Mytilus edulis: one gene and its partner. The protein of the gene in region 1 interacts with the protein of each later gene in a pairwise test. Links are inferred from orthologs where the notes say so. Each region holds a gene or a part of one and is shown on either strand. Other genes may lie near its edges.

Evidence for each region.
Region 2: the proteins of coiled-coil domain-containing protein 146-like (region 1) and alpha-taxilin-like interact in binary tests that used the Homo sapiens proteins (3 or more experiments, as listed by UniProt). The link is inferred for Mytilus edulis from reciprocal best matches to the Homo sapiens genes CCDC146 and TXLNA.

Annotation. Positions count from the first base shown.
Region 1 is NC_092344.1:87,604,173-87,616,575, forward strand, and holds the start of coiled-coil domain-containing protein 146-like, read left to right. Parts: upstream 1-6,890; 5' UTR 6,891-7,053; intron 7,054-10,416; 5' UTR 10,417-10,418; coding exon 10,419-10,577; intron 10,578-10,842; coding exon 10,843-10,925; intron 10,926-11,495; coding exon 11,496-11,708; intron 11,709-11,991; coding exon 11,992-12,049; intron 12,050-12,403. Other genes in the region: ruvB-like 1, read right to left, coding at 476-625, 1,257-1,414, 1,911-2,127, 2,492-2,578, 6,453-6,593. UniProt on the Homo sapiens protein: Essential for sperm flagellum biogenesis and male fertility.
Region 2 is NC_092353.1:78,674,228-78,686,549, forward strand, and holds the start of alpha-taxilin-like, read right to left. Parts: upstream 5,180-12,322; 5' UTR 5,151-5,179; coding exon 5,070-5,150; intron 3,735-5,069; coding exon 3,194-3,734; intron 2,339-3,193; coding exon 2,003-2,338; intron 304-2,002; coding exon 164-303; intron 1-163. UniProt on the Homo sapiens protein: May be involved in intracellular vesicle traffic and potentially in calcium-dependent exocytosis in neuroendocrine cells.

The DNA of each region.
Region 1 (12,403 bases):
ACTTGACACTAAACTTAATTTTCTTTTCCTATAATTCACTGGAGCTGACCCTCAAGCTAGAAAATCACTGGCATATTGTAAAACATCAAATCTATTAAAACTTAGTAATCTGTAATGAAGGTATTTGCATATCATGTAAACAGTTTTTCTTTTCTGTGATACCTTTAAAATATGATAACTCCAATCATATTATACATTTTATGAATTTTCTGTCGTGACATTTGTATTTCTTTGCAATCTCAAAAATAACTGTCATTTGATTCTCAAAACAGCTAGCACTTTATGGAGTGCCTTCAAGAAAGGAAATCAATCTTCTGCAGACATTTGACTGTTTTATGCAATGAAATTCAATACCCAATTGCAACTGCTAGTTAAATTTAGGACACAAAATGGCTGGCTATGTCAACCCCCAAGTGTTGACTGTTGGGCAGTTTACATATTTCAAACAAACTTTATACTTATCCAGGGACATTACCTGTGGTCGAGCATTAGCTATGTCTAAATCATGGAGTGTAACATCTTGTATGACTTCTTTCTTTTTGTGAACATCACCTTTAGGGAGTGGTACATACTCCTCAGCCTCTAAATCAAACTCTGTGGCATAGGAATCAGATCTTCCTTGTCTCTGAAAATATTTCAATAGGAATTCAATAGACATAAATATTTGATTTGATGTAAGAGTGAAGACACAAATTTCTATTTTGAATATCTTGTGTTGTTCTGATGCTGTAACATAGAATATTTCCCCCAACACATTTTTACTTTTTCTATGTGAAATGATGCTCCTTATGTCTGCAATACACCTTATCGCTAATCCAGGCTGACCCCAGAATATGTCCCGCTCAAACTATTGACGTCATACAACAATCACTTTTCCATTGTGGCGTCAGATATTTTGTATTATGACGTCAAATTTTATGGGAACCTGTGTGATGTCCAGTAATGGCGGACAAATAGTGATAAGGTGTAATGTAAAACATGATTGACTTCTATCTTTTTTTAATTTTACCTTATAAGGTTACCTATAAATTGAAACAAGATAAGAACTGTAACTGAAAATCTTCTTCTCTTCATATTCTCATACTAAAAAGTGAAAACATACAATTGATATGTAAGCAAAGCTATCAAATTGTTTGGCCATCTTACAATTCAAATTCTATAATCAAAATCTGACAGCCTTGGAACTTGTAAAAGTTAAACTACTTGTTAGACATTCTTATTCATTCTAAAACTGTTATTTTACAGCTCCTAGTTACCTTGACTGCACCACTGTTAGCCTCTATGTAAATAACATCACCAACTTCTACTTTCTCTTTCTGTAGACTTTCATATATAGATGGGTCTAACTTAAGTTGTTTTGTTCCTTTGGCTGTTTTCAAACCAATTACAACATGGCTAACTGTCTTGCCATATCCTACAAAGACACATGTATATCATAAAATAATAATTTTCACTATTCATCAGTCAGAATAATTGCAAAACTATTGTTGACAATTTTATAGTCAACAACAAAGTTTATACAATGGTTGTGTATGCTTGCAAATTAATCTTAATATCCAATCATTTGCACCCATTCTACTTTTAATTATCCAAATAAACTTTTTTCAAAAAGCCTTGACACTATTTTTACTTTATGTATCTACAAAGAGCTCCCCCTCAACCAACTACATGTATTTAACTTGTGTCAAGATTGTTTATCACTCATGGTTACCCTTAACACCTCTTTTATGTCATGTAACATTGGTAAACTACATTGTTTGACTTAACTTTTATAGAAAAGACAGAAAATTTACATTGCATCAATCAGCATGTTTCCCAATACAGTATTATAACTTTGAACTATTAAAGTATGTTTAATAAAGAATCGTTAAAAAACTTTCTATTGCCATTTGGTGGCATATAAAACATACCTCCCATGGGATTTTCTGTTTCAACTGGAGACATCTCAGTCACTTCTCCTTCATAGACTTCTTTTGTTTCTTTGATTCTGAGTCCAATAGCTCGTCTAAAGTTCTCCATCAATACTTCAGTCTTTTTAATCTCAGTTGAGTATACTTCACTACCAACCATAGGACAGAAAGGGACTTTTGATCCTAGTTCCTGGGCAACAGCTAATGCTATGGCAGTCTAAAGGTAATAATTACAACTCAAGATTAAAATAGTCTGGAAAGTGACAATGTTTCCCTTTTTTTTTTCATCAACACATTTAGACGTTAAAGTGTTAAACGATCATTTGTCTGATATCCCAAAGAGTTATCAGGAGGGCATTATCATGGGTGATCATTTAATAGAGTAGGAGCTTATTTAACTGTAAAATATCTTTTTTACTTGGAATTTTATACCTCTAGTAATTTAAAAAGCAATTTGCCAAATTATGATGTTTTGACTTGAAAGGATGGAATATAAAGTAAAAGGTGCATAACACTGTTTGTTATCTCCCTTTCTTTAAAACATTATCTTATCATTAACACAAGAAGAGAGTTTACATTACCTTGCCTGTTCCTGGAGGACCTGCCAACAATACAGCTCTACCTGCCATCTTTTTGGATCTAATAAGTTCTACAACAACACCAGCTGCCTAAATATAAAATAACATCATTTTTAAAACACTAATATTCATCATTGACCTTTTTTTAACAAAATCATTAGGTTCACAAGCAGTATCAGACATAAATTGTTCAATAGACCTCGATGGCTGAGTGGTCTAACTAAGCATGTAACATATATAAATCAGAGTTCATGAAACTTCATTTTTTCTGTCAAGGACTTACAAACAACAAAAATTCCTCTCAGTCAGGCTGAAAAATAATGGCTTCAGCTTTATGATGACAAAGGAAGATTTCACAGCAAAAATCATAATGGTCTTTCAAGATGTCATATTTGGACTATAATTCAATGTATTGTACCCATGTGGGGTTTGTTCCCTTAAGTTACAGAAATTTGATAAATACAAATGCTGTTTTATTCATACCTGGCTGATTTGTAACTAGATTGTTTGGTAACCCTTACAGAAACTTTCGTACATATTATTACATTATTTATTTTTATTAATTATTTTAGTACATGGTTATAATTTTGTATCTCTAGTTTTTACCTAATTTAACAGTTAGACAATATATATATATATATATAAAATTATATGAGTCTAAAAGATTGTGTAACAATACCGATAAATAGATGGAAAAAAAAACCCACTAAAAAGTGTTGAAATATCATGGCACAAAGATGGAAAAACTAAACAGATGATATAAATTATACAATAATCGCAAATATTTCGGCTCAACAAATGGCCTTCCTCAGTGTTAAAAGTTTTAACAATACTGATACATAATGTAAAAGGTGTAAAAATAGATCAGTAATAATACAGGTATTTATTTATCGGTATTGTTACACAATCTTTTAGACTCATATAATTTTTCCTGTTTGTGTAGTATTGTCAATTTTGATGATCCAATACCTATTAAGGTGGCTCGGGACCTTTTCGAAGTTTCTATCAGAAGTGCCGTATTTTTTGTTATTTTATTTTTTACCGAAATTGAATCAAATTGGTCGAAAAAAAATAGGGGGTCACGGACCATTTAAGCTCAAAATTTTACTTTTAAACAGGTATGTAAAAGGGAACATTTTTCAATGAAATGATAGGGAAAATAGAGGTGTTGACATATTTTTATCGAATTATCAAAAAAACGTTCTATAACACTTGGTCCAAAACTGAAATATAAAAAGCTGAAATGAGCAAATAAAAAAAATAGGTCACCGATAAGGAAAAAAATATATTTTGCCTTAAAACCCAAATTTTGGCGGGAAAATGGTGAAAATGGGTAAAATATCATTCATATCATCCACCATTTTCTACATTTGAAAATGCCTGTACCAAGTCAGGAATATGACAGTTCTTGTCCATTCGTTTTTGATGCGTTTTGTTATTTGATTTTGCCATGTGATTATGGACTTTCCCAATTGATCTTCCTCTAAGTTCAGTATTTTTGTGATTTTACTTTTGACCCTCTAACAAATACGGATTATAACGAAAATATTCTATTATTCACAAAACTACAATGATTTAACATTTCTAATCAATCAAAATATTTAAAAAAAATAGATCGAATTTACGACAAATACTTTTGTAATTCATGCGTGAAATTATGCGCAGTCGAATAGTCCCGAGCCACCTTAAGTTAACTGGTTGGTAGATTCTTATAGACTCTATATATAAAATTATATATATATATATAATAATTCACTATTTCTGTCTCTGGAAGTATATAGTTTAAACATATTTTATTGTTCAAAACAAATGGATTAGACACAAGTTTTTCAACTTAGTTCCGTCTTCTCCATAATAGAGATATAGATATACAGTAAAAGATTTATTTAAAATAATGTACTTTTTAAAGACATATGAAACGAGTGACTAGTGAAAAATTATGTTTATCCAATTCTTGAACCAATTCATGTGTATATCATCAACTTAGTTTTCTGTGATTGATTTTATCAGGTTTTCACGCAAACATATCGTATAATTGTCGATTTCTTTTTTCTCTCTGTCTGTTATGATGTGAAAATATGGCAGCTAATTGTTTGTCATGTTTTGATTGTCACCTTATAGTAAACAAAGAAGCATGGATATTGAGCACGTGTATAACAAGTACCATCAGATAATAGTTTATTTCCATGACAGATACATGCGTATTGCGTTCACCTGATTTTTAAGAGAAGGGTCGTGCTAAGGTCACTTGCATACGGAAAATATGTCAGCATATTGATTCCTGGAAGCAAGCAATTAAAAAAAAGTAAACTTCTTCTAAGATTTAAAAGAATTTTCTTCAGAGAAAAGTATATGTGTACATAAGTTTTATAAAGAAAACTTTCCATTTAGTTATAAAAAACATAATGTCATATACATCATTTTTTTTAATTTGAGGTTTCATATATGACTGAGATAAACTGATTGTACTAAAAACAATTGTACTTTAGAGTAAAACCTGTATAAAACAGCCAGATTTGGGATAATGCAAGGGCTGGTTTGGACAGTGGTGGTTTATACAGGCTACCATTTTGAAAGGGAGATATTGACTTGTGTCATCAGATATTTTCCATGTAAAAGTATTTGTCATTGTAAATTGTAGACTATTAAAAACAAAAACTTTGAAGGGGGGAAATCGTACTTTAATTCTTAGTTGGAATAGAGGGGAAACCAGTTAATTCAGGGTCAGCTTTACCAATGTTTGACTGTATGTGCTTGATATAATATTTATACCAACATTGTATCTTATTACAATTTCATTTTGAGCAAACGGCCCATATTTAGGTTATACCTGCCTCATATTACTGACTGTCTTAAACCTGTCTCATATTCATACATGTACAATACATATAAAATCTTACAACTGAATTCAGTCTATTGAAAGATGCTTATAAATGCAGCCAAGAGCTTCACAAATCTAACATAACTTCTTGGTTCTCATTTGTTAAAAAAGTGTTAGAAGTTTTTGAAATTAAACAAGAAGTAAAACATTTCGGACAATATAAATTTTTGAACATATCTAGTAAATTAATTCACACTAAATATATTAGCAATTGGTATGCTAGCCAAAATAAAGCTTCTGATGGAAAACTGTTTAATTATGTGAAATTTAAGCAGAATTTTGGTTATGAAAATTATCTCTCTTTAATTAAGAACTTTGATTTTAGAAGATCTATATGCAAATTACGTATTTCTGCTCATAAGCTTCAAATTGAAGTTGGTCGTTTTTCAAATATTCCACGAAATGAAAGAATTTGCAAAAAATGCTCCTCTGGCTGTGTTGAAGATGAAATCCATTTTTTAACTAACTGTGAAAATTTTAAATCGGATAGAGATGCTCTCTTTGACTTTGTTTGCCAAAGAATTCCGAATTTTTCTATACTTGATAATCAGCATAAATTTATTTATTTATTAAACTGTGAAGACAATCAGGTCCTTAATGCTGTTGGTAAATTTATTAAAGTGAATATGAGTTAGTAATTGTATTGTAACTGTATGTAAAAAATTGTTTGTATCTATGTATCTATGCAAATCAATATTCTTTTGCCTTATTCATGTATGCTCTGTATGCCCCTTGTGGGCCCTTAATTGGAAATAAAATATGTTCTGTTCTGTTCTGTTCTGTATAACAACCTAGTTACTAGGTTAGTTCTAGTTACAAATCGACAATACACCTTATCACAGTTTGTCTGCCTTTACTGGACATCACAAAAAATCCTGTAAAAGTTCAAGCGGAACAGATCTCTAAATACATTGTGATAAGGTGTATGTCCAGCACAACCTAAGGCTATAGCATAAAAATAAAGATTTAGATGAATTTCACTGGTTTTTCAAGTGTTATGTTTTTGTTCTCAAAATTCAAATTTGGGTATTCTTATAATTAATCAGCAGAAAACAATGTTTAGAACTTTCTAGAAATTTATACCTCTCGAGCAAGTTCTTGTCCGACTAAACCAGCTGCATTCTGAATTGCATAGCCATTTTCATCCAAACCTAATCCTTTAATGTGACTGTGTGTAGCAATTCGTTGAGTTTTCGTGGTACTCTTCACTTCTTCGATCTTCATCTTTGTTCTTTGTCAGAGTTATAACTACGCAGTGCAACTATAAACAAAACTTTACACGAACCGGCACGCTACAATCGTGAAAAACAAGTTTATTGTCTACAACTTAAATCTCCTTTTCTAAAACGTTAAAATCACACAGATTTTTTTCGTATACTTTACGACACTAAAATTCTATGATTTTGCATATATTAATAAATTACCTCTAAAATATATCTATAACGACTTATTTATAATCAGATGATGCTTAAAGAATAACTGCTTAATCTCGGTTTTAAAAGAAAATATTTTACGACTTAATGTAAACCTATTATGGCGCATGCGTAAAGCCCATAGAAACAAATTTATTTACAAGCAAATTGGACACTAAATTATTTACAGTAATTATTAGCTTTAACAGATAGCCGTGCATTTGCACGCTATTGGGAATAGCAAAGAGGTAGTTTCTTCAATAAATCAAAAGGTAAAAGAACAATTAATTACTAAACGATAAGTGATGTCAACAGACAACAACCAGAATTTGCGTCCTATAGCTGTATAGGTCTTCTCATATCCTTACTCCAATCCTTTATAAATCTTTTCAGCATTTTTTAAAATTAAAGGGGATAGAAAATAGAATTATATGTCATGCATCAAAAATTAACGTTTAAGACAAATTGTTGACAAATTACGACACAATTTGAACTATGGGAAAGTGCAGGTTGCATGTCAGAACTCACACAAGTGAACCTCAATTCAACTATATTCTTATACAAAATGTGTGTCACAGTGTGTCTTAGTGTGTCGTACTTGCATATGAATTTGCGACAACTAAGCACTCGGGTTCTGAGTCTTGTTTCGTCCGATGCAAGACGTAACGGCCATACTACCATGACGGCCATAGGATGAAACGGCCATACCCCGAAAAGATGAAACGGCCATAGTACAAAAACGGCCATACTTTGTAAAGACGTATCGTCCATGGTTTTTTTTTGCCCACAACCACCTCCATTTCTACAAGATTGTGCCAGCCTTCCAACAGGAAGCCAAGACCGTGTCCATCACACAGCAGCTTGTGAGTGAACAGCAACTCAGCCGCTATCAACGAGACACATACAAGCAGCTTCAAGGCCGTCTAACTTCACTGTGGGACCAGTACGAGGAAGACAGTATCCGAACATCCGACTTTCTCCGTTCGGTAGGCCATCTGCATGCACCACCTGTTCCTCAACCAGAGACCCTCCCAGAGTCCGACTCTGAAGATTCCGACTACGAGTCTGATTAAGTGTTAATTGTAGTGACTTCATGATCGTAATATAGTGCATTTTGGTATGTTTTAGTGCTTTTGTGAATATAAATGTTTAAATATTGGGAGACATGTGTATGCAGTGGAATAAATGCATGAGTGACAAGAGCATATGAGAGAAAACGTAAGAGATTGTTTATTTAAAAAATGTATATTAGATGAATGTCCTACATGTATGAACGAAATGTATATATGAATGGTTTGTGTATGTTGTATGTATGAAGAAGGTTTATATGTTTGGTGTTTATTTGTTTATCTGTATGACTGAATGAATAAATAAAATATATTAAAAAAAAATATCATCTTTTTGTTTCTTATACTAGAGTATATTGGTATGATTGCCCATAATACAATTATCCATCAACAAATGCACAAAAATGAGAACATTTAAATTGTCAACAAATTGTTTTCAACACAATTCAACACAATGAACAAAGCAAAAAGAACATTCAGTATGATAAAAATGAAACTGGCCATCTTTTATCATGTAATTAGCCAATCGGGTGCACATTCCTGTCAGATTTTACGGGTAATTTCTTATGTTATTGGAAAATTCTGCAGTAGTCTCTGTCTTGGAAAGATGTTCAGCAAATAGAATGACTCTAAACTATAAGAAAGAAAAAAAAATCAGAATTATTAAACAATGTGTCTGATGATCATGACAAATATAACTCGAACTTGATGAATTGCCTTCCTTAGAGTTAACCTTTACACTGAGTCCTGTTTTTAATTTCACCAAGACTGAGATTGAGAAGATTTGTATAGTTTAGAATAATATATATTTTTTACAGATATAATAAAAAGATCTGTAACATGTGCTTGTATGTATATATCGTCATTGACAGCGACAGTCAACATTCCTACAGTTTAAAATTCATATAAAATATGATGCCTTTATATCACATTACAATAAAAATGATTCTTCAGAAAATGTTTACAACTGACAATGAAGAAATAATCAATATACTTACATAATATGGCCGCAACAAGTTGTAAACACGAGCGATGATGATCAAGCAAAGATAACTCTTACAAGAATAAATAAAATCTTCTGTACAGAAAAAAAGTACTACACAATCATATTTATGTTATTATTATGAACAAATACTTATTTTTTGTATTATATTTTATGTAATAAACTCAATAAAAAAAAATTTAAAAGTGTGGACGATACGTCTCACAATGTGTGGCCGATATGTCCCATGGACGATATGACGGTATGGCCGACACATCCTAGGGCCGTCATGGAAGTATGGCCGTCGCGTCTCGAAAGCGTTTCGTCTGGGCGCCATTCCTACGACTTTCAAATAACTAAAGCTGCTTACATATTCTTGTTTTAAGGTTAGCATATAGGATCATAAATATATTAAAAAGGGTTAAAATAATATTTCAATATTATTTACAATTTATCATTGTCAATAACTTTCCTTAATTTACTTTAAGCAAATTATACTGATTCAGTACAAATCAACACTGCGACACGGTGTCAACACACATAAGTGTGTCATGTTTCCAACAACCCATATACTGGTAAAGCAGATTTCTATATATACTTTATATAAATGAAGATACAGAATTCACTTTTGGAAATTATATAATACAAGGTGTTTTAAAACAAATTGAAGACTATATTGGAATTATTAGCTCTGAATAGGTTTTACGAAGTATTTAGGCCTTATAGGACAACACACTTTATAAAGCAGTAAAGATAGTAGTAACTCGACACACATACTTTTACCATATAAGAGAATATTGCTTTAGTAAGGGAATAAATTGCATATTATTATATTATTTGTTTATTGTCATAGTATTGTTCATAAGAGATATATACTGTTACCAGAGCCATTCAATTGCTACCATAGATGTAAATAAGATACATGTACCAGGATCATTCCGCTAAGGTTTAGTAATAGGAGTACGTTATTACCCATCCTCCCCTTATAAAACGCTCTAGGTCCGTCGATAGGTACACTAAGATTTTTGGATATAAAATTGTCGTTGAGGAGATTGTCGCTGATTACATCTCACAGGCAGCAGGTAGGACCCACTTCAATATGTTTGTCTAACTCAAATTACTGTAATCTTGATCATGATTGAATCTGCTTTTTGAAGAGAGAAAAAATCTTGCACAGTACATTGTATTAATCTTACTTTCTAACTATATATTAAAACCATAACTTTTTGAGCTCTCCTTGACAAAAGGGTCGTGTGAGCTGTACTAGAATTTAAATTTTTCATATCATGATTATAGGGTCAATTCATCTGTAAACCATAGTTAACTTGTATATCTTCTTCTCTGGAAACACTTGTGACAGATTTGCATGTACAATGTACATATTTAGAAGTCAACCATACCACTTACATGTAAATGGCAGCATGCATTAAATTATCTAGAATTGCATCTTATGTCAGACAGACTTAAGATAACCTCAGGTTTAAGGTCAATTACAAATATATTCAATATTGCATTTAAGGGAGATTCAACACCATATAAATGCAATAGAAATTTTGATTTTGATAGATTCATTGTCTTTTACACAGATATGAGTAGTCCAGAGCCCACAGAGGATTCCCAAGATGAGACAGAAGAGGAACCACAGAAATACACACAGCCATTGACTGCACTTCCTCCTAGAGTGGTACAACAAGAGGAAAGTCAGGTGGAGGTTTCAGCTAGTCCTGCATTCCAATGTCTTGACGAGGTTAGAATCTTTAAATTAGAGTTTTACAATTTCATTACAATTACAAGAGAACAAAATCGTCCATGTATTTTTACTTGTTACAGGATACCAAAAAAACCTATAAAAAACCTTAAAGACTAAAATGACTAATCATGTTTGTGTTATACAAGGTGTATAAATTGGTGGTCCTTAGGTAAGTGTAGATTTGGTTAGTGTACTGCATTTACAGTATAATTTCCTTATCATTATAAAGCAGTACATTGTATTTTATATTCTTTATTTCTAGTTGTTTCAAGATGGTAAATTAACTGGAACAAGACTGGCACATCTGAAAGCAAAGTACACAGATTTACATGAAACTCTGAAAAAGTGAGTACTTTTATTTTTATTTTTCGAAGATATGTCAATGTTTTGAATAAGTTACTTCAAAAATAGAAAAATTGGCTTTTGTAAAGTCTGTGGAATTTTTTTTATAATTATATAATTATTATCTACTTCAATTGTCTCCTAACTTGAGTTAAGGGCTGTTCCAGAATCAAACACATAGGGGTAGGTTATTTTAGACCCTGACCACTCAAAATTAAAAATTCTAAGAAAAATGTAACCACCCATATTTGATAATTTTAAGTGTCTCAAATCTACTCCACCAACTACATGAACATTTTAGAACAGCCCAAAGAAAGATGGAATGTATAGCAAGACCATTTTCCAGAAAAGGATAATTATTTTTTCTGACAGTTTTGTCTTGACAAGTTTTGAAGAAAAAAAATATTGATATTAACTTAATAATAAAAAAAACCCATTTCAAACAAACCCTAAAGGACTTATATTTTATTTCTGACATATTTAATGTGAATTGTTTTTATGGAAACTACAATATTTTTTTATAAAATTTGATTAAGTATTATAATTGTTTATAATATGATCTTACTTCAACAGAACAAGAGATAATGAATCAAATTTACTGAAGCAGGCCAAAGAAGTACAAGTAGAACTTGAAAGGCAGAGGATAGAGCTGGAGAAGGCAGATAATTTACCAGATAAAACCTCTAATTCGGAAGTGGTCAATATCAGACGAGAAATCTTAAAAAGTGTAAATGCTAAAGATGAAATATTAGACAGAGAATATCAGTTAAATTACAAATTTGAAACGTAAGTTCATATATAAAAAAAAGGAGTTGTTATGGTCCATGTGGTTATTGCTTTTTGTTTTGTTTTGTGTATATCATAAAATTTGCAGAGGCTTGAGTTGTAAATTGTGTTGCTTAGAGGACAATTAACCAAAGAAGATATATATTTTTTGTAACATCTTAAATGTTTATGAATAATATGTTTAAACTGGGAGTTCTTTCCAGAACTTTTCAACCTAGAGAACTTTCCAAATCTGGAAAAGTCTAAACAGCATTTACAAACAATATTTCTTATCTCATTACAGTCTGACAGAAGAAAAGAAAATTCTGGAAAAAGAATTTGCAAGACTCCCAAAGCAAGGTGTAAGTAAACTTCTAACATCTATGATCTTTGATTTTGTTTTATGTTCATTTTGAAAACTTTCAAAAAGTGCATAGTTTGTGTCTCCATTTGTTTTATATTGGTAATTCAAAATGTGTCCTTAAATATGGGAGGATAACAGAACAGATTAACTGCAAATTAAGCCTTTTGTTATTTTCACCTTTTAAACATGCCTTTAAGAAGGTTAAGCTGTATTCAGGCAAATATTGCTAACAGTACTCTCTGCAATATAAAAAACATGTAAAGAAAAACACCTTTTAAGCTACAGTATTCCAAACATGAAGACCATACAAATCCAGTTATAAATGTCAGAACTATACCCTAATCCAGGTTAT
Region 2 (12,322 bases), on another chromosome or scaffold:
GAATGCCAACAATCATGACAATAGGTCTTTATCACAGCGAGAAAATCCCACACCTGGAGGGACAGTTCAGCTGGCCTCTTTCTGTCTGTACTAATTTTCTGAATGTTATACATATATTGTTTTTTAAATGACATTAATCTGTATATACTAAATATATACTCACCACACTAAGTTTACGCTGCATTTGTTTGACTGTAGAATTTACAGTTCTGTGTTCCTCATGGAGATCAGCATACTTTTTACACAAGGCAGCTAATTTTTCTTCCGTTGTTTGTAGGCTGTTCAAAGCTCTCAAAATATGATCTACAGAAAAAATAAAATTCCCTAGTTTTGAATCGTAATCTAGCTCTTAGAATGTGACACATGTTGATTCTTAAAATATAACCTAGCTCTCAGAATACAGAAAAACATACATTTTCCAAAGTTCTCAATCTAGTCCTTTTATAGATTTTTTTGTCACTGCTATACCTGTCAATATGATAAGAAACTTTCAAAAACCTTCATATTCTATTCAGCTTGGTTAAATTAAGACACCTACTGTCGGCCACAAATTTTGCACATCCAGCTACGCTTTAGGTTGAAGAAAGAACTGCGTAAAAACCAAGATCTCTAATTTTAAAACTTTTAAAAGAAGCCGGGCAAGGAAAATTATGTGGGTGTTGATTAATTACAAAACCGACTTTTCTTTAATCTTTTTTCAGGTGTTGCTGAAAGATGCAAGATGATTGTGCAATCACATCAATAATTTGTTATTCTGATAATCCTGAAAAAAAGCTTAAACATTTCATGGAGAAGTGCCAGAATCTAAATGCACCAGTGATTTGTTTTGAAAGGTAATATGAAGTGGATCTATAAAAACACATGCTAGTCTGTTTCTGTTCTAAAATAAACAATAGACTTTGAAGATACTAAATTACAGATCATTAAATTATAACAATACACAAAAGTAATGTTATAAACTGTTAGATATTACGTCAATCAATCCTTCTGGAGGCAAGTGGTTTATAATCTGTTTAACTTACAATCCTGATATATACTAGTGCACATGCACTCTTGCTTTCATCAATGAAGTTCAAGGACACCAAGCTAACACAATTTTCTTTTTTATACAATCAACAAGATAAAAGTTTGAGTTATTAAAAAAATGTTATTAACAAACTTAATACTTTTTTTTTAACACCTGTTTCTGAACTTAGTTACCCCTTGGTCTAAAAATATCAAAATAAGATTCAACTATGAAATTTTAATACAAATATAGCAAACCCAAAAAATTTAGCTTCCCAATTTACTAATTTTTTTTTAACCATTTCCCAAAATTTCTGAAATTGAATTTCAAAATATAACATTGAAGTAACAGACAGATCTGTTTTTACATCACAAGAGGAAAAATGCATTATTCTTCTCACATGGAATTTAATCAGATATCTTTCTAATATTTACTTGTTATGCTACTGACATTTTGACAGATGGTGTCCTTGAACTTCAATGAAAACATATTGATCAATGATGTCGAATACTCTGAACATTTGGAATTATTTTTGGCTCATAATTTACATTTAAAACAAGAATGTGTCCTCAGTACACGAATGCCCCACTCACACTATCATTTTCCATGTTCAGTGGACCGTGAAATTGGGGTAAAAACTCTAATTTGGCATTAAAATTAGAAAGATCATATCATAGGGAACATGTGTACTAAGTTTGAAGTCGATTGGACTTCAACTTCATCAAAAACTACCTTGACCAAAAACTTTAACCTGGAGCGGGACAGACGGACGAACAGACAGACAGACGGACGGACGAACGGACGGACGGACCAGAAAACATAATGCCCCTCTACTATCGTAGGTGGGGCATAAAAAAGCCAGGTTGTGTAATCTTCATTCTAGACAGGGTTCACTGAATAATAATGTCTATGTATCAAAGAGATTGAATAACAAGAATATGTGATAGTAAAAGTGTTAGTCCTTGAAATCTTAAAATTTAATTCCATGACATTTACCATTTTTACCTATAGTTTTATCCTCTTTCTTTTTACTTTTTTTGTCAATTTTTGTTCGGTCTTTTGAGTCAGTGTCCTCTTTTTTCTTATTTTTATCTTCGGATGGATCAGTTTTCTCCCCATTTATTTTCAGATCTCTACTCAATGCCTCCTCTAACCCTTCAGACCCAGTACTGGCATGCATGGACCCATTCTGACTGTCAGGAGATCCATCTCTCTCAGCAGGGTCTGGGGCTGTCATCTGTTGGACCAGGGAAGAGAGTGCACTCTCACTCAAACCGGAGATCTCTGAGTTCACACCTTGTTCTTGATTTAATTGTTCTGTGGCAAAATTTTCTATGAATAGAGAGAAAAGTAACTTGTCATGCTTGTATACATATAAAGCACATTGTATAATTACATTCACAAATTGGAAAAGGTCTATTTATTGTTGATAACAGATACATTCCCCCTCCCCACACACACTACATGTACAGTGTACACTAACTTTTGAAACGTAAATGTCCACTGTCAAAATTGAACTTGACCTGTATATTACATATTTTATGATCCCATCATTGTGTTCAACATGTTTGAATTCAAAATGAATGTGCCAAGTGGAACATCAACCTTCATCAAGACTGCCATAAAAAATATATATAGCGTCTTCTTCTCATATGATTAAGTACATCATGTACATGTACAGTAGTGTATCATACTTATGGTTCTACAAGAGCTATTTTGTCAATAAATAAAGTGACAATGAGCAATTCTGTTATACATTTTGATGGAATGTTATACTCAGTTATACATGTAACAATCTATAATGGTGTTGTTCAGATATTGTCGCTGGTTCATGTCTGCTTTTTGTTTTTTGTAAATGGTATTGTTATAAATAAGGTTATTAGTTTCCTCGTTTCAATTATTTCACCTTTTTTTCATATGTGAGCATTATATACATGATATAGCTGACTATTCAGTATTGGGTGTTCTCATTGTTCATGTTGTTGAAGGCCATTCATCAGTGACCTATAATTGCTAAGTTTGAACTCTGGTGGATAGTTGTCACATTAGCAATCATACCACATCTCCGGTCCTTTTTTTTTCATATTGGAAAGATGATTTTTTTTGCTTTCCATAACAAATACCTAATGAATCCTGGACCATATATGGCCTCTATGCACTCAAAAAGGAATTCATACATGAACCTACCAACTTTCTCCATGACTTCAATTATACGTAAATCCTCTGCAATAAGCTGATGATAATAATCAAAACTTTGAAGTTCTCCGACAGGAAATGATTGTTTTTGTTCTACCTCTTTTAAATCCTCAACGTCAATTAACGATTCCTCTTCACACTTGCTATCACTATCACAAGCAAAGCTATCTTGCTGATACACAGTCACAGAATCTTTCAGTGGATATTTTAATACAGATTTAACATCCACAGCAGAAAGAGTCACGGGCTCAACGAAACAATCTAAATCTGAAAGATCCTCTGACAGTACTTCTTCTCCTAACCAAGCAACTGATTGATTTGATGCAGAGAAAGTGTCTGGGGATTGGTCTGTGTCTACAGTGGCAAGATCTGGAATTTGTTCACAAGGAGTTGAAATCTGAACTTGATGCTCAAAACCTGACGAAAGTTCTGATTTTACTTCCTGCTTTGAAAAAGATTCGTTAACTGGTTGTGCTATCTGAACAAGTTTTGGTTCAGCTACAGGCTTTATCTCTTCTCTTTCGTCTGGATGCTGAAAAAAGAAAAGCAGAATTATTGACTGAAGTCCAAAGACAACATTATTTTGTCTACATGTAGATCTATGCATTAAATCACAATTTGATTTTACTACTAGCATGACTATACATACTGGTAGCTAGTTTTGTATATATAACTAATGGTGTACCGGTAAGCTAGCGCTGTTCCCCATGCTACCAGTCTAATTGAAAAGTTGAGACGAAGAACAGCATTAAAATTAAAGCACATTTTTTTCACTTTTCAAGGTATTAAGTATGTAAGGCATGTGTACATGTGTAGGGATGTTGTGTCATGAGTGAATACTCAGTGATATCATCTTTCTAAACTTTCATCCATGCTACATGTATTATCACTATTATCTTTCAATATTGTAACATTTATTTACTACTCATTCTTAAATTATGGACTTTTGTTGTGTGTTTATACCGAAATATTTGTTAATAGTTAACAATTGCTTAAATTGTCAGCTTAAAATCTATTGATTGATTTTTGGTGTTTAATGCCACTTTCAGCACCTTTAGCTACATGTACATTGTGATGGCCAGAATTTATTGGAGGAGGGAGGAGGAAACTAAAGTGCCCAAAGAACACCAATCTTTAGCAACAAAATTGGTGATACTTATCAATTAAGATCAAAGGCACCTGCCATGTGTTGACAGGCTAGTGTGATACAGTACACGATCTACGTAGACCTCTCTACAAGCGACCTCCTTCTAGCCTCTATATATATATATATATATATATATGAATCAACAAATAAGTTTAGTAGGTAGTTTAAGGCCACTACTGACCATTGTCTAGTCATGCTAGTTGAAGAAAGAACAGTAACAATGTAAAACAATTCTGTCAACATGTATATAGATCTATAGTTCAAATTGAAAACATTCACCTAAACTTTAGTCAACAAATTTCCTATTAGTCATCATATATAGCACTGAGAAATTACAGCAGCAAATTAAATTATATTTCTCCAAAAATACATGCAATTAATTAGTAACTGATTAGAACCATTTTACTGCACAGTATGTAAAGAATTGTACTACATTCTGATGTAGCTGTGTAAAGGATTGAAGGTATTAAAGTCTATGTATTATATCAAACAGAAATATACAAGACGTCTTATATCACATCACGCAATATAAATCAACAGACACATGAGTATAGCATTCCATCATGACAACCTGGCTACCCTCCAATCTTCTACAAATACATTTCTTATATTATATTTCTTAATTAATTTCTTATCATGTTTACAATAAAATTCAATTTCCCCAAAAAATTAGAAAAAAAGATCAAAGAGGCAAGAAAATTGGCTAGAATCTGAACATACCTGTTTAATTTTTCTTGATTTTCCACGAAGAAAACATGAAGAGAGAGTTCTAAAAGTTGAGCGGAACCAGGAGAATGCCATACTATGTCATCTTCCTGGTATCAATTGTTAAGTCAATTTGGGGCTCAAGAAAGGGAGAGTCAAGAGGTAATACAGGTGCATGTAATTCCACACACATTGGAGATAACATCTTAGTATTCCCAAGAATTTACATAAAAACATGTAGAATGTCTTATGGTTGTATTGTTACAATTGCTTTTAACTATAAATATTACTAAATGTAGGAAATTATGCAAATTGGACAGGACATCACCACTGCCTATTTGACAAAATAACTAGAACTGTGCATTTCTTTTCTAATTTATAATTTAAGTTACATAAACAAGAATTGATAATTAAAGTACAGTCAACTGGATTTAAGAGTTTGATCTAGAGCAAAGTTAGCAGTCTATAGTCTATACAGTTTATATCTCATAGAATTATATGAAAGGGTCATAAATAAGAATCACTGGACACCAGGCCTCCAAGACTGGCAAGAGCAATTTTTAATCTCTTTGTATTTACTGTGTACATTGTATACTATACTGTACAATGTTTCGTCTTCTTTGAATGTTTAATATTAACTACATGTATGTCTATCTATGAGGAAACTTGTCTGGCTGCAAAAATAACACAGGAAATAATTACATGTGCTTTATATACCATGATAGTACACTGAACAATAGAACACTAACCCTTGGTACTAGTACATGTATAACATACTTTCTAACTAAGATAATCAAAGTGAATCAAGCTTTATTCCCCATTTTCTAAACTAGTGATTTTATAATTTCATGAATTCTATTTAACATGTTTAATAAGTCCAGTTACTATTATTTGTTTAAAAATATATTGAAATAGTAATTTGTCAATTTCATAGATTATTCACTTATTTTTATCAAACAAACAAAAAAATCATGAACTGATGAGGCAAAGATAATGTCAATTTTTAAAACTTGGACTAGCTATACAGCAAAGCCAAAAGTGTCAGCTGATTCAATCCCAATTTTGTTTTATGAACCTACATTGAAACAGAACCCCCTGACTGCTTCCTCAACATTAGCATGATTAGATAGTAATTATAGGTGCAGACAGCCCCAATATTGAGGATGATCATGGTGATAAGTTTCTACAATTATCAACAAGATCATCACAGCTGGAGAAATATACATCTGGTATGAAATGGTAAGAAATGGTACACCTCTAATCATTCCTATCTGATTGATGCTAATTTGAAAATGATAGTTCCACATCAAGGTCTTTGATAAGATTACATGATAAATACATTGTATCCTTGGGCCCTTAGGGATTAGCCATCATTAGGAATAAAAAATGTTATAATAAGACTCAGGAGTCATGTTCTAGGACCTTTTAGTTTTATTTTCAAAAAGAAAGTATTTTAAATATACATACATATAAAAATAAAACTGTATGGTTTTGATGATAGAATTTAACTATATACATGTACATATTTTTTGTACATTCTTTAATTATATTTACTTAGCAATGCTTAGTATTTAATTCTAAGATGTATATCAACATTCGATTGTCAACTTTAAACATTCTTTTCAACATTCCACATTCGTTTGCCACATTTGTTTTCAACATTCAACATTCGTTTTTAACATTCAATTTTCAACTTTCAACATTCGTATCATGTAAATAAATATTACATTTTGTATGTATATATTTTTTTTCAAATAATAAGTATCTTTTAAACTTACATGACTTAATATATCAGTTGTATGTTCAACATGTACATGTGCATTCAGTAATTACATTGTTGATTTTGATCAATTAAAAGATCAATTCATCTTGCATTAGTGTTATCAATTAATTATATAAAAAACGTCATCTAATTAGAAGTACATTTTGTTTATAGTCTCTCAGAAGTATTTTCATGCAAATTCTAATTTTAATTTGACAACTCTTGATCTTGATTGGTTGCAATTGATGTTTTAATCTTTGAATAATTTGAGCAGGATCGGACAGCATGAATTTCTTTTCATCAATTACAGCCGAGTGATTAATTAAAACATTATTCTATAAACAACGTAACTGCTTCACCATAAATTTGTACACAATTAAGAGTTATTGAAACCTTGATGAAATTTCTAGCAGGATAGCTATTCATGCTTTTATAAAACTAATTTTCAGCCATGCAACATTAATTTACATGTTCAAATAGAACTAAAACAAAACAACAATAACTAAAAAAACATAATGTTTACCGACATACAATGTATGTATTAAGAATAAGAAGTACATACTTTGGTGGGATGTTTTGTATCTCCATTATTGTTGCTAGTTATAGAATTCCCCATTTCATTCCGAAAAAAACAAAATTCTGACCAACTAATTAGAACTAGCCACTGATTATTACTTCTTTTTTACATCTTATCAAATGGAGGCCAGAGAGCAATAGAAAACCCACTGGCATCTATATAAATGATATCTGACAAATAACATTTATTATGTACATGATGTATTTCTTTGTTTATGAAATTAACATCTTGGAACTGTTGGCAAAGACTGTGTGTGTATGGTAACAACATCTGTCTCATGCTGAAGTCTACCTGCTAAAGTTATGTAATTCATATTTAAATTCTACTTCTTTTAGCAACATCTTGAAATGATTTATGTTTTTTCTCCCAAAATAAACCCATGAGCTTGAGGCCTCTTTTAACAGTTTAAAGACAGCATGAACAGAGGGCAGATCAATCATTTGGGGCATATTGACTTTCAACATTTTCAAGTACATTTTTATATATCTTCAATATCCATGTAATTATCGAAACTGTTCATTGCCAAAAATAATATTAAGTCCAAATTTTGAAAGTTTCTTTGTGACGGGTTAAATGCAAGCATAATATACACAAGTGTCATGAAACATAAACATGATAGATGTATAATATTTTGTTTGTGCTACATTTTGTACATGTGCTAAAGGGATGTTCACCAGCTTTACCCTTTCCTATTTATCCATGACTTTTTAAACCAGGTGCTCCGCAGGGCGCAGCTATATATGACCCCAGTGGTCGAACCCTGAACAGTTGGGGCAAATTTGGTCATAATATTCAAGCTTGATACTGTCTGATTTTGGATTGGGATCAAATTTTTTACATAATATGGGTTTTTGTCACAAAATTAAGGTGGTCAAAGATCTTACAAATCTATTGCACAATACTGTGCAACTGAATATTTCTTCTTGAAACTTTTCAAAATTTGAAATTTGAAAAATTTTGAAAAAAAAGGAATCCCTTAAAAAAATGGTAAACAAAAAATCCCCCTCCCCACTTTTTGAAACCCCTATTGGAGCAATAACCCTTAAACTCAATCCCATGCTTTCTTTTGTAGTATTGAACCTTGTAGTACAATTTCAGAGAGATCCATACACTTAAACACAAGTTGTCGTCATGATTGTTTGGAAACTAGAAACATGCTTCTTTTTGGCCCTTTTTAGGCCCCTAAATCCTACATATTTCGGGCAATTAACCCAAAACTTAACCTAATTCCTAAACGGTTGGGACCATCATCGCCAAAATTAATCCCAACCTTCATTTTGTGGTATTGAACCTTCTGAAAAAATTTCATAAAGATCTATTCACTTATTAAAACTAAAGTTATTATCCGGAAACCAATGTGTCTTCGGATGACGAAGACGCAGACGACGACATCATACCATTATACGATCCCAAAAATTTTTTGGGGTCGTATAAAAAGTACCAAAATATATCAAAACTAAACAATACTGAACATTAATCTATGCATGCCATTCTCAACAAAATGATCACAATGATATGAAAGAATGTTTATAATGTATAAATTTGTCAACTCATTTGGAGGCGTCTATAAATACATAAAATGTATCATTTTCTAAAACTACATAAAGACCCATTGATTTTTTGCATCAGTTAACCCCCTCCTCCTTAACATAAAAACAATACTTATAAGATAACCACTGATTAACATGATTACTACATTTAAGTTACAACAATGAACAAGATATACATGTATGTATCTTTATAAAAATGCTTTATCATAAATATATATACCAGTAAATGGGAATAAGTTGAGAGGTACAATTTATAATTAAATACAAAATGGTTCAGTAAAATCACTCCCGGGTGGGTGTAGGGTAATAAATACATCAATTTATTTTCACTTTCAATATTTTTTACTGAACGAGTCAAACACAGAAACAAAATTTACAATGGGGAGATGTGTGGAAAAAAATGTGAGAAATCTTATATTTACTTCACCACAATTTGCTAGCAGAACACCAACAACACCACCCATACCATCTCTGACAAGTCTGAACAGATATAGAGATACACTGGAGATATGTCATTCACCAGATCAGACTAGACTCTCACATGCCTCTAATTACTGTCAGATGCTCTTCATTAATTACACGAGGGTCAGAATGAGGGGTATTGCATTTTGATTGATTAAAATCTATTGAGCTTATGAAATTAAGATTGTTTGTGAAGTTGGAACTAAAATTGAGAATGAAAATGTTGTGTTGATTTGCATACACATACACATTTATTTATTCATGTATCTCATATTTTCTGGATGTATTTTCCAACTATCATGACTATCAACCCCTTCTTTCAATAAGTTTTCCTTCTTTCTAGTATAAATATAAATTCATGCTCTTTCAGTTTTAAAATAAGATAGAATTAAACTGCACTTTGGCATCATGATCACAAAAATTTTGATTTGAGGAGGAAGGACAGCTTTAAAATGCTGTGTAAAAAACTTGTCAGACCATGAGGAATGATTTTAGGGGCATTTCATCAATTTTAAAATTTCCAAAAAGATCAATTTTGTTGATGTTGTGATACTATATATATCAAGGCAGTGTACTCTTTTGAATGAATTGAAATTATAGCAACTTTTCACATAGAAATATGTATTGACAATCTACTATTATTATGATTTATATCAAATGTTAACTATATTTTTTGCTTTTTTTATGAGTAAATTTAATCATGATGATGAAAGAAGCTGCAAAATTAAATATGTCCTATATAATGTCAGCAATTTTTTTTCGATCTATAAAAATATACCACATTTTTTTTTTAAATATTTTAAAAATTCTTCAGTAGGTAGAAATTGTCTTAGAGTTGGTCAATAGCCAATTACGGAGAAAGAAAGCATCAATTTTGACAATTTTTCATCCTATTTCCTGACATGGAAGACCAAGGAATGCTGATAGATCTATATATTAATCAGTAGTGGACCCCAGTGAACAAATTTACCACAGTTCTTTGGTCAGAGTGAAATTGATCTGGCCATGGTCAGTCTAATTTCAAAAGAAGTCATTTGGACCCAATATATGAAATTTAGATTTTTTTTCGGATTTTTTAATTTAACACTAATTAGGACCTACACAAGTGTACAACCGAAAGTAGCCATTTCCTATGTGTATTTTAATAATAAACATGAGCAATAGTCATGATAGTTATATGCCTGCTGGTTTGCACTACTTGTGGAAGTTTTAGGCCCCTGCACCTCGCGTGTCATACATTAAAAAGAAGCCTACACCTCCAAAAACCACAGTTTTATCTGATTTCAATTTTTCATACAAGTTTGTGCTCATCATGCTTATCAGAATTAGCATTAAAACTAAGAAATATGACAATAGTGTAAGAATGATGTAACATGCATTCACTTTGAAATAAATGTTTTCAAGTTTACCTAAAAAAAAATATGGAGAGCCATTGGAGCCAAATAACGATATTTTGAGTATGGCCGTAATATAAAAAAAACCTGCATGGTAAGGGTTACGATTGCTGACTTCAGGCAATTGGCTTTTTCTCCCCATTCACAGTGCTATATCATGTATAATAATAAATGTAAACAAATGTTACATATATATAGTTTCTACCGTGAACATGATGAAAATGATATTTAACCTTGCATCATCACGACTCTTAAACCATTCGGTTTTGGTTCAGGTCCTCTCTAATTTTTCCTCGTATGAATCTAGGAAATACAAGGTCTTATTTGCACTTGAAATCCCAGCAATATTTATAGTAAAATCATTCAGTAGAGGGAAAACTGACAGAAAATAAAAACAAATATTTTGACAAATGCAAATGGCAAAAATCTGAAACGAAGCTGTAAATATGTAAATATTTCAGCATTTCTATTGCGAAACTGACAATGAAGATAAGTTAAAAGGTTTCTTGTTATCTCAATGTGTTTATTGCATTTAATTCGTGTGTGAAATATAATTTGAACGATCATTACGAGACGTAGAAAATGGAGGGAAAACAGAGGTTGACAGTCTGAAAATTTTGAGGACAGAGCCACTTATTTGTGCCACTATTACATAATAAGTTGTGTTACGTGTATAGCGCTACAGAATTGAGCAACTGGGAATTCTTTATTATATTGCACATAAATTAAAACAACAAAATAATTGAAGACTAAAAGTAGTTTTATTCGGAATTCTACACAAATGTAATAAATTACACCTTTTACCTGTTTAAAATTACCTGAAAATGCAGGTTACTTGATAAAAAATTTAGTGAAGTAATTTCCTAACATTACAGTTCATGCTCTTCTGAGCATTTTTCCTGCAATAACTTTCTCTGTATCTCTAACAATAAAAGATTGCCTACAAATGTACAAGTACCTGGCGGAGGTTACTTTTTACCTGTTTTAATTAAGTGTGCATGCATTTTCAGTTTGCAATAAAAACTAACGGTCATCATAGAAGAAAAGCGGAAACTTCTGTATGAAAACTCAAAATAAAACTATTGATCTATTTCTGTAATTTTTGAACTTAGTCATGATACAATATATTTGATTTGATTTGATTTGAGTTTTCCTTTCCTTTCTTGATTTATCATTAATGATAGTTTTTTTTATTTTTTACTTAAAAATAAATCCTTAATTTAAACATTTACTTACTTTAATACTACATGTACTAAACGAAAATACTCACTGCATATTTTTTTTTATTATCATATCAATATTTAACACCATTATATGATGATGTAATCTTCTTAACATGTAAAGGCCCCTAAGCATGGGAGGTTCTACATGTTCAATGCAAGTAAATGTGTACCAACTTCTTGTTATAAAATTTACCTCTATTATACATTTATATGGGCACTACAAATCAAAATTTTAAAACAATTTAAATTTATGTTGTGTAAAATATATTGTGAAAATCCTTGAATGGTATTTTATGTGGA